Oreochromis niloticus: one gene and its partner. The protein of the gene in region 1 binds, or shares a complex with, the protein of each later gene. Links are inferred from orthologs where the notes say so. Each region holds a gene or a part of one and is shown on either strand. Other genes may lie near its edges.

Region 1 (7,264 bases):
GCGGACGGCTCTCGTAGTCCCGCCTAGACAAAAGAAAAGGAAAATGGAGAACGCAGGTGTGGACCTCCACCTCGCAGGAAGCTCCGAGGACTCTCCGACCACAGGTGTGGCTCGGGCTCGGAGGTTTACCTGATGTACGGTTTGAGGAGGCGGGAGGTGTAGGGGCTCCTGATGGTCTGCTCCAGGCTTCCTTCAGCTCCCATCAGACGATGCCAGAAAGACACGGACGGCTGCTGGACGCCTCGTCTGCCGGAGACGCCGGTCTGTAAAACATGGACAGGTGAAGCGAACAGTGTGAACACTGCATCAGCTGCAGCGATTGGTGCACGTGGGCGTGTCACATGGACGGACAGGAAGTGTGTGCGTTACCTGGAAGCGATCGAGAATCCGCAGCTCCTGGCTGCTGGTACAGTATTTCCCTTTCACACCGCCGCCGATCTGTGATCCGGCCTCCTGGGCGCCATAGATTCCTCCCACCAGGCTGAGGGTGGCGCTGACCACTTGGTCGATGTCCAGCAGGGGGAGCCTCCTCTGTCGTTTTGCCTGGCGAACCAGCAACTTCCTGTGGAGGCGTTTAGCCTGCGGCGTGACGGCCAACGCGAGCGGGCAAGCGTCCAGCCGTCGCAGCAGCATCCTCTCCTCGTACAGACTGAGGGTGGCATAGCGAGGACTCTGGGCGTTGCCGGCAGCGCTGTCAGTGTTCTCTGGATGAGTCGTCCTTCTGCGCTCAGGTCCTCCGCCACCGCCGCCTGTGGACACCGGGGCGTCTTCACTTTGTCCTACGGGTTCTTCAAAGTCGCCCTCCCGCTCGCGGCCTTCGTCTTCCTCGCTCTCTGCTTCACGCTTGATGTGAGGCGGTGGCGGGCGGAGTTTCTTGCGGGTGCCCAGGTTGGCACTGGCAGGCGGGATGTACTCGGTTCCCGGGTCGATCATCCCCTCTGTTTCCATCTCCTCATCATCTGAGTTGGAGGAAGCAGAACGCGCCATCAGCGGTTACATCACATAAAACCACATGACCCTGCACCAATCAGGTGGTACCTCACCGTGGAACAATGCCTGTGGCGGCATGGCGTCAGGGATAAGGTCTGCCTCCGACAGCAGGCTGGGCGTCGCCGAATGCGAGGCTGGCGTTCCCGGGGCAGAAAAGTCAGGTGAAGGCGATGGCGTCGGGCTGGTGAGCGGCGTTCTGTCTGAGGAGCTGAGCGAAGAGAAGTCAATGACCTCACCCTTCTCCAGGACCAGATCTGGGCGCTGCCCACCACCCACACCACGGCCTCCACCCAGCTTGACGGGCGTGGAGGCGGCGCTACGGTCCGTGTATCCGCCCGCCGCTTCCTTCTGGGCCCGCCGGATATCTTTGGCCTCCTGAGTGCGTGAGCGTTTCTCCTTCAGCTGCATGGCGTTCTCCACGGGGTTCCGCGCCCCGCGTTTGCGCAGACCCTCCACGGTGATGATCGGGTCCAGCACGGGTTTGGACGCTGTGGGTAAACAGCGTCCAAGGTCAGAGGTCAACAAACACCGTCCACTTGGGCGCCAGCGTTCGATCACGGCTTACCTTTAGTCTTTGTCACGGATTTGTCCACTTCTGGTCGGAGGGTTGGAGGTCGGTTGTGGACCAGCTTCCACCAGCCGGGCTCACCGAACTCCTGCGCTCCAGAGCGGAAGAAGGCGGGGCTTCCGACCGACAGGCAGCCCGCTACCGTGCTCCACCAGGTTGATGTCTTCTTCCTGCAAAGAAGAGTGCAACACGAATGTGAGCGCCGGCACGTTATCGATAAAGACCAAAACTTTATTGTCTGTCTGCGATCGACCTCGAGCCCAGCAGGAAGTTCCAGTGTCGACCAATGAAAGCGCAGATGTCCTCTTTCCACCTGAAGTAGCCCTGCCGGCCCGTCCCCTCCAGAGACAGGTTGTACATGGCCAACATCACCACCTGCCACAGGAAGAAGCTGCCGTCAGCACGCCGAGTATTTGAGGTGTGTGTCTGTGTGTGTGGGCGGGGCTAAAGTCCTACCTGCTGCCAGGTGAGCCTCATCCTCTCGAAGCTCTCCTTGCCATCTTCGGAGCAATCGGAGCAGACGAATTTGAAGAAGTTGTCTCCCTTCAGGTAGCTCGGCTGCTCGCCGCGGAGCTGAGCTGCAGACGATCACAGGTACAGAGTCAGCTGCTGCTGCAGACCTGCTGGGGGTCTCCTAGGTTACCACCAGTGCCTGCTCTCAACTCATGAAGCTGCAGACGAGGAGCTGGACTAACAGCTTCCTGTCTGGCTCCACCCACACCACATCAGACCTCACCTTAACTCTCATACCTGCTTACATCACGGTCAGAGGTCACATTAAGGCTCATATCATGTGATCATCCATCGCATCATGTGACACTTAACTGAGAGCATGCTCACGCCGTGTTCTGGAGCCGGGCTAAAGGGCGTTCACGCACACTCAAGGAGGAGCTCGTACCTGAAGGTGGGGCCATGTGGAGGAAGCTGCCGCGCACAGAGGTGCAGATCTCGCTTTAGAGTTCAGCGGGTACGACTGTTGATTCACGTGACAGCTTTAATGAGTGCAACGTGAGACGGACCGGTCGGCACGCGGTGGGAGCGTCTGGATCACTTTTGTTCCCGCCATTTCGCTCTCAGCGTATTGTCCTACCGCGTAGCTACAACTGTGGTGTCGCCGGGAACCCACAGACTTGATTGCGTTGGGTTGTTATAGCAACGTGGCCGAGCATCCTGTGACGTCACTTGTGTGTGACATGAACGAGAACAAAGGAGGCGATGGCATTCCTCCTGCTCGGTCCGTGGCATTTTGTCAGACTCGTGGGCCGCAGGTTTCAATTTTCCCGAAAGACTCGCTCTCATGACTCACAGACTGGTGCACCTGACCAGCCAATCGGTGGCATGCGGTCTGCTGATGTCACATTTTCAGATTGCTCGGCAGCAGGTAGTGCCACCTACTGGAGAAGGTCGGTCACGTCAGAAACGGAGCGCTGCAATTGGCCAGCTCACCTGCGGGGATCCACTTGTGGCAGCGGTCGCAGTAGAAGGACATGTCCTCGCAGGCCCAGCCCCCGTCGGCGTCCTCACCCACGTCACTGGTCAGGGAGTCGCCACTCTGGTCATGTGACAGGTCCACGGAGCCCTGGTCCTCCGACTCAACAATCAGCAGCGTCTCGCCCTCCACCTCCCCCTCTTCCAGACCGTCCGACGCTGACGTGCAGGCCGCCTCGTCCTCCCCACCCACCAGCTGCTCGCCACTGCTGTCCATCCTCCTGCTTCAGGTACGGCACACCTGGGCAGGTGACCACTGCAGTCTACACAAGAGAAGAAACATTACAGTTGACCTGGTCGTAAGGAGACTTGGGGATGCAATAGGGTAGGTGCATGAGAGCATTTACCTTTTTCAGGTGTCCTGTGGGTGAAGCCTGGCCTCCCGGTTTCGTCTCTCCTCCGCCAGCTGTCGGGTCAGCAGCCGCTGCTCCTCCAGCAGCCGCAGGTTCTCCTTCCTGCGCTCGAGCCGTTCCAGATCCCTGACCACGCCCTCACGCAGGCGCTGCACGACAAACACAGTGACCACTCATCATTGATCAAGCTCTGAGGACATGTGAGCTCATCTCCACTGGTTCACTTACAGATCCTGCTTCTCACTCATTAATCCCTCAGTGCTCCGCCCCTCAGCACCTGTACACAGTCAGGTCTGCTTTCGGTCCCTTGTAACAGAATCCACACCTATGAGGGCTCGATGCTTTGGTGTGGAGTCTCTCCCATATGAGCTTCACAGCTGGACTGAAAACTCACCTCTGCCACACAAACTTACACCTTTGACCTTTTTGACTTGTGTTGCAAAGCGTTCTTGTGTTTCTTGTAAGGCGCTGGAGAAAGTGATTATTATTGATCACTGATTACTGAAACAGATGTCACAGGTGAGGTGCCCGAAGCTTTGTTCCCATGATGTGAACACCTTAAACCCAGGTGTGTGATTTTCTGTTTCTTTGTTTTATTTAACAGCAGGACTCGTGACCTCACAGAGGTCACCCGAGAGAAAACGCACCTCCAAAATAAAGGCAGACCTGTAAGCGTCACAGAATCCGAAATGAAACATCTGACGCCACTGCAGCTCTGTCAGTCACATGTTCTGCACTCACCTGAGCTAACGTTAACTCAGATAACGCCTGATTAGCTAACTGAGCCATAAATGTAAGGAATGACGATGATTATCATTGTTTACCAGCCATCTGAGTCTTTTATTTTGAAAAGTGTTGGAGGAAGCGGTTTTTGGCTGCTGTTTATCGTCATTATCGTGTTTATTTATTATTATTCTTTTAACGTCTGTGTGACGTCACCTGTGTCCGTTCAATTGCGTTTAACCACCACCTGTGCTTTAGCGTTAGCCTCGTTAGCCCCCGTGACCCGCTCCGGCACACGGAGGCTAGATGTCAGCCCGGCTCGGCTTACCTCTCTGTCCCAGGCCTGTTTGAGGTGCACCGCGGCCACGGTGCTCACGGTCAGAACCACGGACACTCCCAGGACCACCTTAGAGACCGCGGACATCACGCTGTCTCAGCTCCGGCTAACAGTGGCTAGCGGCGGCTAAGGTCTTCTTCTTCTTCTTCTACGCTCATCGGAGCTGCACCGCCCCCACCGGCCGGAGTGTGACACACACGCAGACTCGCGTCAAAGAATCAAAGGCCAAAAAGGCCAAAAATGTTCGTTTGTTTCTTCTTAACCTCCTAGGACCTGCCGTCCACATATGTGGACATCACATTTTTGGTTATTTTGACCAAAATACTCAATTTTGCTCTACATGGGCCTGATATCCACTTACAAGGACATTATACTGCTACTGTTCTATCAAAATTTTAAATGAATATCCTCATTTGTGGCTCTCATTTTTCTTAAAAACAAAAATAAGGTAAAAAAAAAAATCTGGAAATTCTTTGTTTTTACATTCATTGGGCCCCAATATGCCCAAATATCAAAGAGAAATTAAAAATGCATGTCGTGGAAGAGTTCGGGTCTTAGGAGGTTAAGGTGAAAACCAGGACCTCACCTGTCCTCCCTGCATCACACTCGCAGGGTGTGTTAGTGTGTTGTGAAGTATCTCCTGTCTCCTTTCCTCACTTCCTGCTGAGGACTTAGGAAAAGAGAAGAGAAGTGGAACGACCTCACACTCTTTCTCCTTAACGGTGTGAGGCCGGATGTCGTGGGCGTGAACTGCAGCGCTGTGAGGGAACCGTGATCACGGAGCTGAGCCTGCTAAAGCTGCGGTCCTGAACTACATATAAACTGTATAAAAGGGGCGTGGTCACAGCTGGAACATGCAAACATGGAGGGAGCATGCTCTTTGAACAGCTCCTCCTCCTCCGCCGTGCCTGAGTCAAAAGCTGTGAAAGTGGTAACATGACCATGCCGGGCACTTAGAACCTGAGCTGTCACACCTGAGGCCACCTTTAGCTAACATCGCCACGTCCTCCTCCTGCCTTGCATCCAGCTCAGAGTGAGTCCCAGGTACGTGACACTTAGTGAGGTAGTGACCTTTGAGACGGTCCTGAGAATCATTGACTCGACTGTCATTATGTGAGTCTTTGGAGTGGAAATGGCAGTTTATTCCACCTCTGAGGTGGAGCACCAACCATCGGCTGTTGATTAATGTCCACTCACACCTCCACCTGTGAAACAACTGAATTCAGCTCAGATCTTCTCACGCCTGATTGGCCGATCAGTCGGGCCAGTCAGCTCTGAGCATGCTCACCACAGGTATTATAGTTTTTACCCCTCAGCTGTAGAAGACGTCATCGACAGAGAGGTGAGGCAGGATGGAGCGGGTGGAGACGAGTATGACAGGAGAGCAGCAGGAGTGAAACTGAAGGTTTGGAGGTGGAGGCTAGGAGAGGAGGAGATGGAGTAAAATCTAAACTTCACATTTACGTTTAGGTATGTGAGTGAAGTTGGCCCCCCCACCTTCTTCAAATCCAACAAAAGTGGTACCAAACGTTTGTGCTACGTTTGTGCTGCAAACATTTTCGTTTGTGCTGCTATCATTTTAAAGATATTAATAAAAATTTCTACAGGTCATCAAAGTACAACCAGCCCCCCCACATTAATGGAATCCAACAAAAGTGGTATCAAACGTTTGTGCTGGTTTGTGCTGCTAAAATTGTCATTTGTGCTGCTTCTGTTTTAAAGATATTAATGAAAAGGTAAACATGAACAATGTGCTGGGGGGTTAGTTCCATGATTGTTAGTATGCAAATTCTTATGACCATTGATCAATGACAACTAATCAAAGCCTACTGATCAATGGCCATGAGTACCATTCACAGAAAGTGGGGAATGGCTACAATCACAGCATTGTAGGATGGCGAAAGATGTACCCTTGGGCCCCCCTTCTCGATTCAGAGATGGTCAGCATCCTGACAGCCCGATGGACGAAGCTGTCTCTCAGCCTGTGTGTTCTGGCCCGGAGGCTCTTCAGTATCCTTCGTGAGTAAACTGAAGACGCTGCTGAAGGGATGAGTGGAGTCACCTGTAATGGAGAGGACCTTCCAGATGAGGCAGGTGCAGCTGGTCTCACTACCCGTTGTTATTTTTTCCTGCAGAACCCAGTGCAGGAGTCATACCACACAGTGATGCAGCTGGTGAGGATACTCTCAACTGTGCCTCTGTAGAAGGTGCTCATAATGGGGGTTGAATCTCTTGTGCTTCTCAGTTTGCAGAGGAAGTAGAGTCGCTGTTGGTCTTCTCCACATTCAGGGACAGGTTGTTGTTGCTGTACCACTCTGCCAGATGGTTAACTTCACCCCTGTAGTAGATCTCATCGTGGGTCAGCAGAGTGAAGAGAAGGGGGCTCAACACACATCCTTGGGGAGCCCCCGTATTCAGTGTTCTTGGGCTGGAGGTGTTGCTGTCGAGCGTACTATCTGCTGTCTTCCTGTCAAGAAATCTGGCAGCCAGTTATACAGCAAGGTGCTGATCCCCAGCAGATCCGGTTTGTGAATGAGTTGCTGGGGAATGATGATGCTGAAGGCTGAACTGAAGTCTATGAACAGCACTCTGACATACGAGTCTCTAGTGTTCAGATGTGTGAGGGCTGAGTAAGGGGCAGTTGAAATTCCGTCATCGGTTGAGCGTTTTGACCGGTATGCGAACTCAAATGGATCCAGGTTGGGGGAAAGCAATAATTTGATTTGATGCATGACTAACCATTCAAAGCACTTCATAATGATGGAGGTGAGTTTGACAGGACGGTAGTCCTTAAAGCAGGAGGTA
Region 2 (7,842 bases), on another chromosome or scaffold:
TGGTAGACACTCAATGGAACTGGACCCACTGAGGAGTAAAACACTTGTTGAACAGTTTGAAAATTTATTATTGCACAAGACTTGTGGGAGCAAACAAAGAATGACTGATAACAGCAGATAAACCAAATAATAGATCACTGTATAAATAAAGGCTTACTATAAGTAAAAAATTCAGTGCCAATAAAAGGTATCATTTAATTTCTCAGTTAAATATAATGTATAATGTTATATACAAGACAAAAATAATTTGAGCCTTACAATAACTTCCTGTCTCTCACCTGCTGGAAGTTTGAGGTGAGCCTCGATGTTGTTGAGTCGTTCCTCTATGGCTACATTTCCACAATCTCTCATCAGCGGCCCCCTCTGTTTATCCCCAGCCTCTGCTTGGTCTCCCCCACTACGGGTCTGGGGTCCGTAAGTGTTTACTACTCGTGTGACTGCCCAGCCAAGAAACAAACACAGAAGATACAACTCAGTCCTAAACAGATTCTAGTTAACAACATGTTTTAGTTTAATTACACAAATGATAGTTTAAAAATTAAGCTGTTAAGAATTGTGACATTTTCTTACCTTTTACGTGGCTTTTAAAACCCGGGTAAGGAGTGAATACTGCATCTGTTCTGGCACAGCTGTTTTCTACAGACGATCACATTTAATATAAATTGCAATTAGAATTACCAAATGCAATTAAACATGATTACCAAAAGCTGTATATGTATATCACACCTGAATAACAACTACTCCTGATTTCTGTTACTGGTGTCTCACACAGGCTTTGAATTTAAAAAAGGTTCTTCTGTCTCGTGTTTTTCTGGACTAAGCGGGTTGTGTTTTGAGGCCGAGTGTGTTAGCTACTTCAGCCCCACTCTTGGAGCAGTTCAGCCTGACCTCTCGCCTGTGGAAATCAGCTCTCTCCCAAACATTGGCAATCTGTGTGCAGGCACCCTCTCCACCCTGCCCCCCCACCTCTCTCCCATTCTCACCCTGATTGCAGTCGATCACGTTGCAAAACTCGCGTACATTGTTTTCATTGATCTCCATCTGCTTGCGTTCCATAAATGCAGATATTCTTCGCTCAATCTAGGGTTACAATGAAGACAACATAATAAGATACAATGGATTGATGAGGTGGCAAGAATGCTATGTTTTTGACTATTTAATGATAATGATGTGGGACAAATAGGGTGCGGCAATTTACATTTCAGAAAATTCCAGGTAGCCAAAAAAGTTGAACTGCTTGCCATCATCACATGATGGAATATGAATACTGTTTGCTTGGCTACCAAAATAAATGCACAACAGAATGGGGCCTCTTGTCCTTCATCCACATGCAATCTCAGAGTAATGAGCATCCACTTCATAATCCATCAAGGACCTGGCCCTCTCTCAAAACCCTCCAGCAATGTGGTCTGTTCTACCCCACCGCAGCACTAAAGGACCCCTTATTCTCAACCGAACTCAGCTTATCAGGTCTCCATCAAGCATTTGCTTTGCTGCGGCACGTCATGTGCACATCCTCTGGAGCAATTACTTATGATTATTCATTTGCTTGACAGAGTGTAAAGAGGGCTCTAAAATTTCACTGCCAGAACAGCTGACAGATCTGCTGACAGCGACCAACCTCTGACTTCCCAGCTCGGATCTGAACCATGACGTCATCAGCCGCCGCCTTGCTCTCTGTAGCCCCGGAGCTGTGCGGATGGTGCTCAGACTGCGTGGCTGTCTGTGCGCTGCTTGAAGATGAGGTGACAGCATCTTCTGATGTGTTCTTGAAAGAGGATGCATCAGCCTCAGCATCCAACAACACCTTTAGGCTTTCTGAAACAGCCTAAATAAAGAGCACGTCAGAAAGAAGAATTAGATGTAATTATTTAAAGCTCCCAAGAATAATCGAAAATTCAAAATTTTAAATTGTTAATTCTAATCTACTTTTTTTCCCTTGCAATGATAACACAATAAAAAGCTGCATAATAATCTATGTCAGCTCTTAAAATTCCTCTAATGTTTTTACCTGTAATTTAGCGATATGTCCTTGTAATGAGCTGTAAACATGAGCAGGTGGAGATGATTGAAGATTCACAGCGCTGGGGTTGACATCTATTTTCAAAGCAGCATCCCCAAATTTCAGCTTAATTTCAGGACAGACAAAGTGTGGATGTTACTGTGAATCAGCATTTAACATACAATTGCATGCTAGCAGGACAATATATACATTTGTCTAATATATGCAAGTTACAATTGATTGATGTGAAAATACATAAATTATTTTTGATAATTAACTGGGCAACTGATTTGTTACTGTTCAAGAAAAAGCATTTGGTGGTATCAGCTTCAATTTAATGTAGAATAAAGGATTATTTTCCCCTTGTTTTCAGCTGTTTTTTGTCACTGTAAAATATATATATTGGCTTTGCAGTGGTGGTCAATAAATACATAATTAAAAATAAGGTTACCCCAGACTTAGGAAAATAATGAAGTTAGATTCATAAAGCGAGTGAAAGGCGATGCTTTTATTTTATCCACTGCATATTTTATTTGTGCTTTACCACACAAAAACAGGGCTTGAGATCATTTACTGCATGTATGGGATAAAGAGGTTTATTTAGATGTGTATTCAATCCAATACGAGATGCAAAAAAAAAGCACGGCAACAGGGATAATGACATGAAACTTTGCTGTTACTGATGAAACAGAATGCCTAGTTAAGCCCAGTCAAGACACAAGCTCGATCTTATATCTTAAATTACTTTCAAAACAACACTGAACCATTTAAAGCACAGTTACTTTGCAACAACCTGCTTGTCAAAAACAGCACCAGAGCGCTGTGTGAGTGACAATGAATGAACAGTGTGGGTCCGCTAAGCAGCCCTGCTAACACCACATTGCTAAAAACATTAGCATGCAGCCAGCCAACACCCCGGACTGAAAGGAGCGATGTCCGAAACAAGGCAGCTTAAACAATCCAAACAAACCTCTTCCCCGAAGTCTGCTAGCAGTTGCAGTAACGAATCCATACAGTCTGTATAGCTGGACATTTTACTGGAGTCACTGGGAGGAGCATGATTTCTACTTAGCTTCATTGCCTCCGCCATTGCTGTTCGACAAGCCGAAGAATACTGTGCGCTGATTGGTTCGAGTGCAGGTTCCTGCGTGTGCGCGCTTAACGAAGTCGAGGCTCCATACACGCATGCGTACACGCACACAACCGTAGTTGTGAGAATATTAATATTACTGCGAAAATTACTAGTAATGATAAATGCTTAAATTAAATTCACTAATTTTACTGGGTTGTATTGTGCAAGTATTTCTGAAAGCTTTAAGGCATTTCTCTTTTTCAGTCTTTTAACAGATTGAAAGGAAAATTGTTTACATAATTTTTAAAGTCAAGGATCAACTTTTTAAAAACTGCAATTACAAATACATTCTAAAAATATAACAGGACGTCAGGGGAACAGAAAGCTCATATATATATATATATATATATATATATATATATATATATATATATATATATATAGATATATAGATATATATATATATAGATATATATATATATATATATAGATATATATAAGTATATATAAGTTTTCTGTAGATATAGATATTAGATACTTGATACTTGATATGATCAGACTCCATGTTAGCAAATCGAAAAAGAACCCAAATAGAGAAGCACAAAAAACAAATAAAGTTATAAAATGTGAAATTTAAAAATCTTTCAACTGTTCTTCGACACAGGGTGGTTAAGAGCATCTATATATAGAAAAACTGATTATATAAAACTTTGAAAAACCTGTTTTACAGCTTTATTTCCAAACATATCATGCACATTTCATCTTTTACCCAACTATTTCTACTTCTCTTCAATCTGTTCCCATAAAATCCAAACCAAATATGCTTATTAATGACTATCATCAACTATAATAGCCCTCTTCATGCATTAGTGACCCTGTGGTTTTATACAGTAATCTATTAGCAGTCAAGCAACATTTTATTATTGCCTCTAGTCAAGTTATTAAGCTAATGTTTTAACGTCATACACTGGTAGACAGTTCTACGAACAATGAAATATTATTTTAATATTAACAAAATAATTTTATGACTTGTATTCTCTACCTGAAAACAAGCCTGTAAGTAGTGCCACGTCTGGAACATATTATTAAATGCCCAAAGATGTCCAGTCTCTGAACTTTCTCTTTTAATGCCTTTTAAAGCATGTTTAAAGTCATTTTATTCTCTGTCGTCTTATGGCATGTTTATCTGTTTAGCAGCATAACTGCTGAATATTGTTCTAATTTAATTTTTACTTTATGTTTAGAATGTCAATGCTTGTATATTTATATGATCCACAATTTTATTACTTTTAGTTTAAAACATTGTACTATATAAAATTTTATATATATATATATATATGTATGTATGTATTAGGCATGGCTCCCTGGAAACTGAACTCACTCAAATGTGCCGTTAACTGTATTCTCAGTCACTTACTTTTCAAACAGGCGAAAGAATGGTCACTCAATTATAAAGATATTGTCCCTCTGACCGCAGTGGACTGTGCAGCAGGGCATTGGGATGGGAACCTGGTTACAATGGCGTATTTTTCTGTGTTGAGTGACTGTGGGAAAATCTCCCTCCTCTATTCAGACATTTTTCCCTTCTTTTCATATAATGAGGAGAGAGACTGATGAAGGAAACAACAGAAAAAGAACAATTACAGGCAAAGAGAAGGCACAACCACTCAGAACTCAATAATGCTCTTTAGGAGGGTTAATCATTTTAGGAAGGGGTCTGAAGACAAGCCTTTTTACTTTAATTCATCTCTGGGGTGATATTTTTCCCCCCAAAACAGGAAGGAACTGTAACACTTGACATGGTTTGACATGCTGAGCTATTGCTGAATGTTCCCACACAGCAAGGCGCTCAGAAATTAAAAAACTGCTCATTTAATTTGGCTGGCTTCAGACCAAAGAGCTGTTTATTCTTCTAACGGGGGAAGAGTTGTGATTTAAGGCATTTATATGAGCCATTAAAAAAACATGATAACCTACTTGAGCGCAATGTTTTTACATTTAGCTATATTTACATTTCGAAACCAAAACTAAGTATTACAGATATTCACAATCTTTAAATGTCACCTTTTCCTCTAATATGTTCCTACATCTTAAAAACAGTTTTAGAGGATTAAAAAACCAGTGGCTGAAGAAATATTTACAAGTGCTACAGCCTAAAAATATTCCTTTACAAGTAAAAGTTCATGCACAACGGCCTTAGTCATTGTTGGCAGGGTCATTATTACTGATGCATCAACATAAGTGGTACTTTATTTATCTAATTGGCTGAAAGTAAGGTACGGCAAACTGATTTAAATGCGCTAACTTGTTTCCAGAGAATGATTTGACCTCTGGTTTTTCTTGCTGTTATTAAATCATATTAATTGTAGATTCCTAACATAAAATGACAATTTATAACCATTTATTAAGTATTTATGCACTGCTTGTAAATGCTGAAGCCATTATAGAGAATTGCTGAAAAGTGTTACAAGGATACCTTAATGGTTCTTTGTGCAACTTAATAAGATTTTTTTTTCTTTGCTTTACAAGAATGTGTTCTTGGCAGGCAGAGGGAATTTGTGCTATACAGGAAATAAGGTGGTCCTAGTGTTAGAGGGAAGTGAGTGAAGAGGGATTGTTGCTGCCTCTTGCCTCAGTCACATCAGCCACCTGCAGGAAAGTAAAAAGGTCCGCTTTTGAGCCTGTCTGCTGCACGGTGGCAGATTATGTTGACAGAGCATGAGACGGAGTAAAGGCCAGACATGAGGATCAGGAGAAAGAGGCAGCACAATGTAAAGAGCGAAGTGGATTGCAGTAAGAAGGTTTTGTCTCATTTCCCCCAGAGAGGAATAATTAAAAGTATTCCTTTCTTGTGAGTTTGGGACCAAGCTTCCCACAGATCAGCTCATTACGTACTGCTTTTAAGTAATAAAAAGATATATGTGGAAACAAATGTAAATTTTGCAGAAAAATGTTCATTAAAAAGACTGTAGTCATGGTGCTGGATTTGAGAGTTATTTCAGTTGTTTTTTACAGATTTTTTCTGAACTGCTTTGGCACATTTCTTACAACACTTTTGGAATGATGCATGCAAAAATAAGCAGTATTTACATGTGCATGAACTGTAAGGGTAAAATGTTTATGTACTGTTGTCTTCTATATCCACTCATATAGTGGAAATCACTGGGCTGTCACTTTTGTCCACTTGGCCACAGATTCCCACTGAACTCCTAATCCTCCCTATGAAGTGTAACAGTGGAAGAACTGCTTTGTTTGGCAGACCCATCAACTGCAGTTCTCTTTCTATTTGCTGTTGTTTCTCCTTGTTACACTGCCACACATCCTCGCTTGTCTCCCTATACTAAGGCTGTTGTCCCAGAAAAAGGTTTATTTGGGCTCCTACTAGTTCATAAACTGTTGTAAATCTATATCTATATACAAGCATTTATACATATATAATTAGATGGACTTTTATATGTGATGGCTTATACAAAGAAATAAAGCTATTATATTTTGGAGAATAAAACTATTCAGTTGATAGAAACACTTTTTTTTTAACACAAATACATTTTTTTATTTTTTACACTAGACAACTAGTCATTAGACTGTGCTTTTAGGTGCTTAGGAGTCCTCCCACCATCCAAAGCTGTACTTGTTAATTGGTGTGGATGTAAGAGCGTGTGGTTGTCTGTCTCTCTGCTGAACCCTGTGATGGAGTGGTGACCTGCCGAGGATGTTCCCTGCCTCTATTCCCACTCACCCCAGGACCTTGAGTTGTGTGATACCAACACGTTCGGGCTGGTGATACAGTATCAATTATTGACAATAGTACCATGTTTATCGGGTTTAAGTTTATGATTAGCAACATAGTTTAGGATGTAAGTCAATTACCATTACTTAACTGGCAACAAAAATAGTAAATTAGTAAATTCAAAGTTTTTATTTGTATAGCACCTTTCAAGATAAATATCACAAAATGCTTCACAATGAAAATAATAAAACATAAAAACATGTAGTCAGCAGATCTCGAGCTCAAAGGGAGCTTGAAAGCACTGTCATGAAAACTCTGTCTCCTTATTTTTTATTTTTTTGTCTCGTGTGCTGCACAGCTCCTGATCACATGACCCCAGGGATCTGCAGGGGATGTATGCATGTAAAGGCTCACTGATGTGCACTGGTGCTCAATAATGCAGGGCTCTAAAAGTCAAAAACAAAATCTTAAAGCGGACTCTCAAGTTAATTAGGAGCTAGTGGAACTAAATTAGCAACAGTGAGAGGTGGGAAGCGAGTGACTTGGAAGACTTAGTCAAAAGTGTCGTGGCAGCGATCTGAACCACCTGCAGATGTTCTAAGGAGGTTTTGTTAAGACACGTGAACAATGAATTACAACAATCCAGATGTGATCAAATAAAGACATGAGTAAATGAGAATATGACTCAGCTTGGCAATATTTCTTAAGTGATAAAAGCAAGTGTGAATCAGATATTTAACATGAGCAAAGTTACAGTTGAATCAAAGTGTTCTATAGACAATTTGGCAAATGTAGCAAGTGTAACTACAATTTCCATTGGAAATGTGTTCAGGGCACAAAAAAGGACTTTTATTTTCTCCTGGAAATTTTTCAGCCATCCAGCGGATAATAAAATCTAAGCAACTAGGCAACTATTTAACTTAGAAACAGCTTGAAGCTTAAAACAGATATATAACAAGATGTCATCTGCGTAGAGTGATAAGAAATCTTAAAATATGCTGAAAAGACACTAAATATGAGTAAAAAAGAAAAGGACCC

The links.
Region 2: kat14 (region 1) and mbip share a complex: the UniProt entries of both Homo sapiens proteins name them as parts of the ADA2A-containing complex. The link is inferred for Oreochromis niloticus from reciprocal best matches to the Homo sapiens genes KAT14 and MBIP.

The regions. Positions count from the first base shown.
Region 1 is NC_031971.2:41,839,000-41,846,263, reverse strand, and holds the start of kat14 (cysteine-rich protein 2-binding protein), read right to left. Parts: upstream 3,298-7,264; 5' UTR 3,264-3,297; coding exon 3,005-3,263; intron 2,137-3,004; coding exon 2,015-2,136; intron 1,934-2,014; coding exon 1,812-1,933; intron 1,729-1,811; coding exon 1,556-1,728; intron 1,479-1,555; coding exon 1,044-1,478; intron 960-1,043; coding exon 370-959; intron 264-369; coding exon 130-263; intron 24-129; coding exon 1-23. Other genes in the region: protein PET117 homolog, mitochondrial, read right to left, coding at 3,399-3,548, 4,451-4,546. UniProt on the Homo sapiens protein: Component of the ATAC complex, a complex with histone acetyltransferase activity on histones H3 and H4. May function as a scaffold for the ATAC complex to promote ATAC complex stability. Has also weak histone acetyltransferase activity toward histone H4.
Region 2 is NC_031983.2:18,731,542-18,739,383, forward strand, and holds the start of mbip (MAP3K12-binding inhibitory protein 1), read right to left. Parts: upstream 3,146-7,842; 5' UTR 3,093-3,145; coding exon 2,973-3,092; intron 2,129-2,972; coding exon 2,012-2,128; intron 1,829-2,011; coding exon 1,622-1,828; intron 1,081-1,621; coding exon 984-1,080; intron 637-983; coding exon 571-636; intron 438-570; coding exon 279-437; intron 29-278; coding exon 1-28. UniProt on the Homo sapiens protein: Inhibits the MAP3K12 activity to induce the activation of the JNK/SAPK pathway. Component of the ATAC complex, a complex with histone acetyltransferase activity on histones H3 and H4.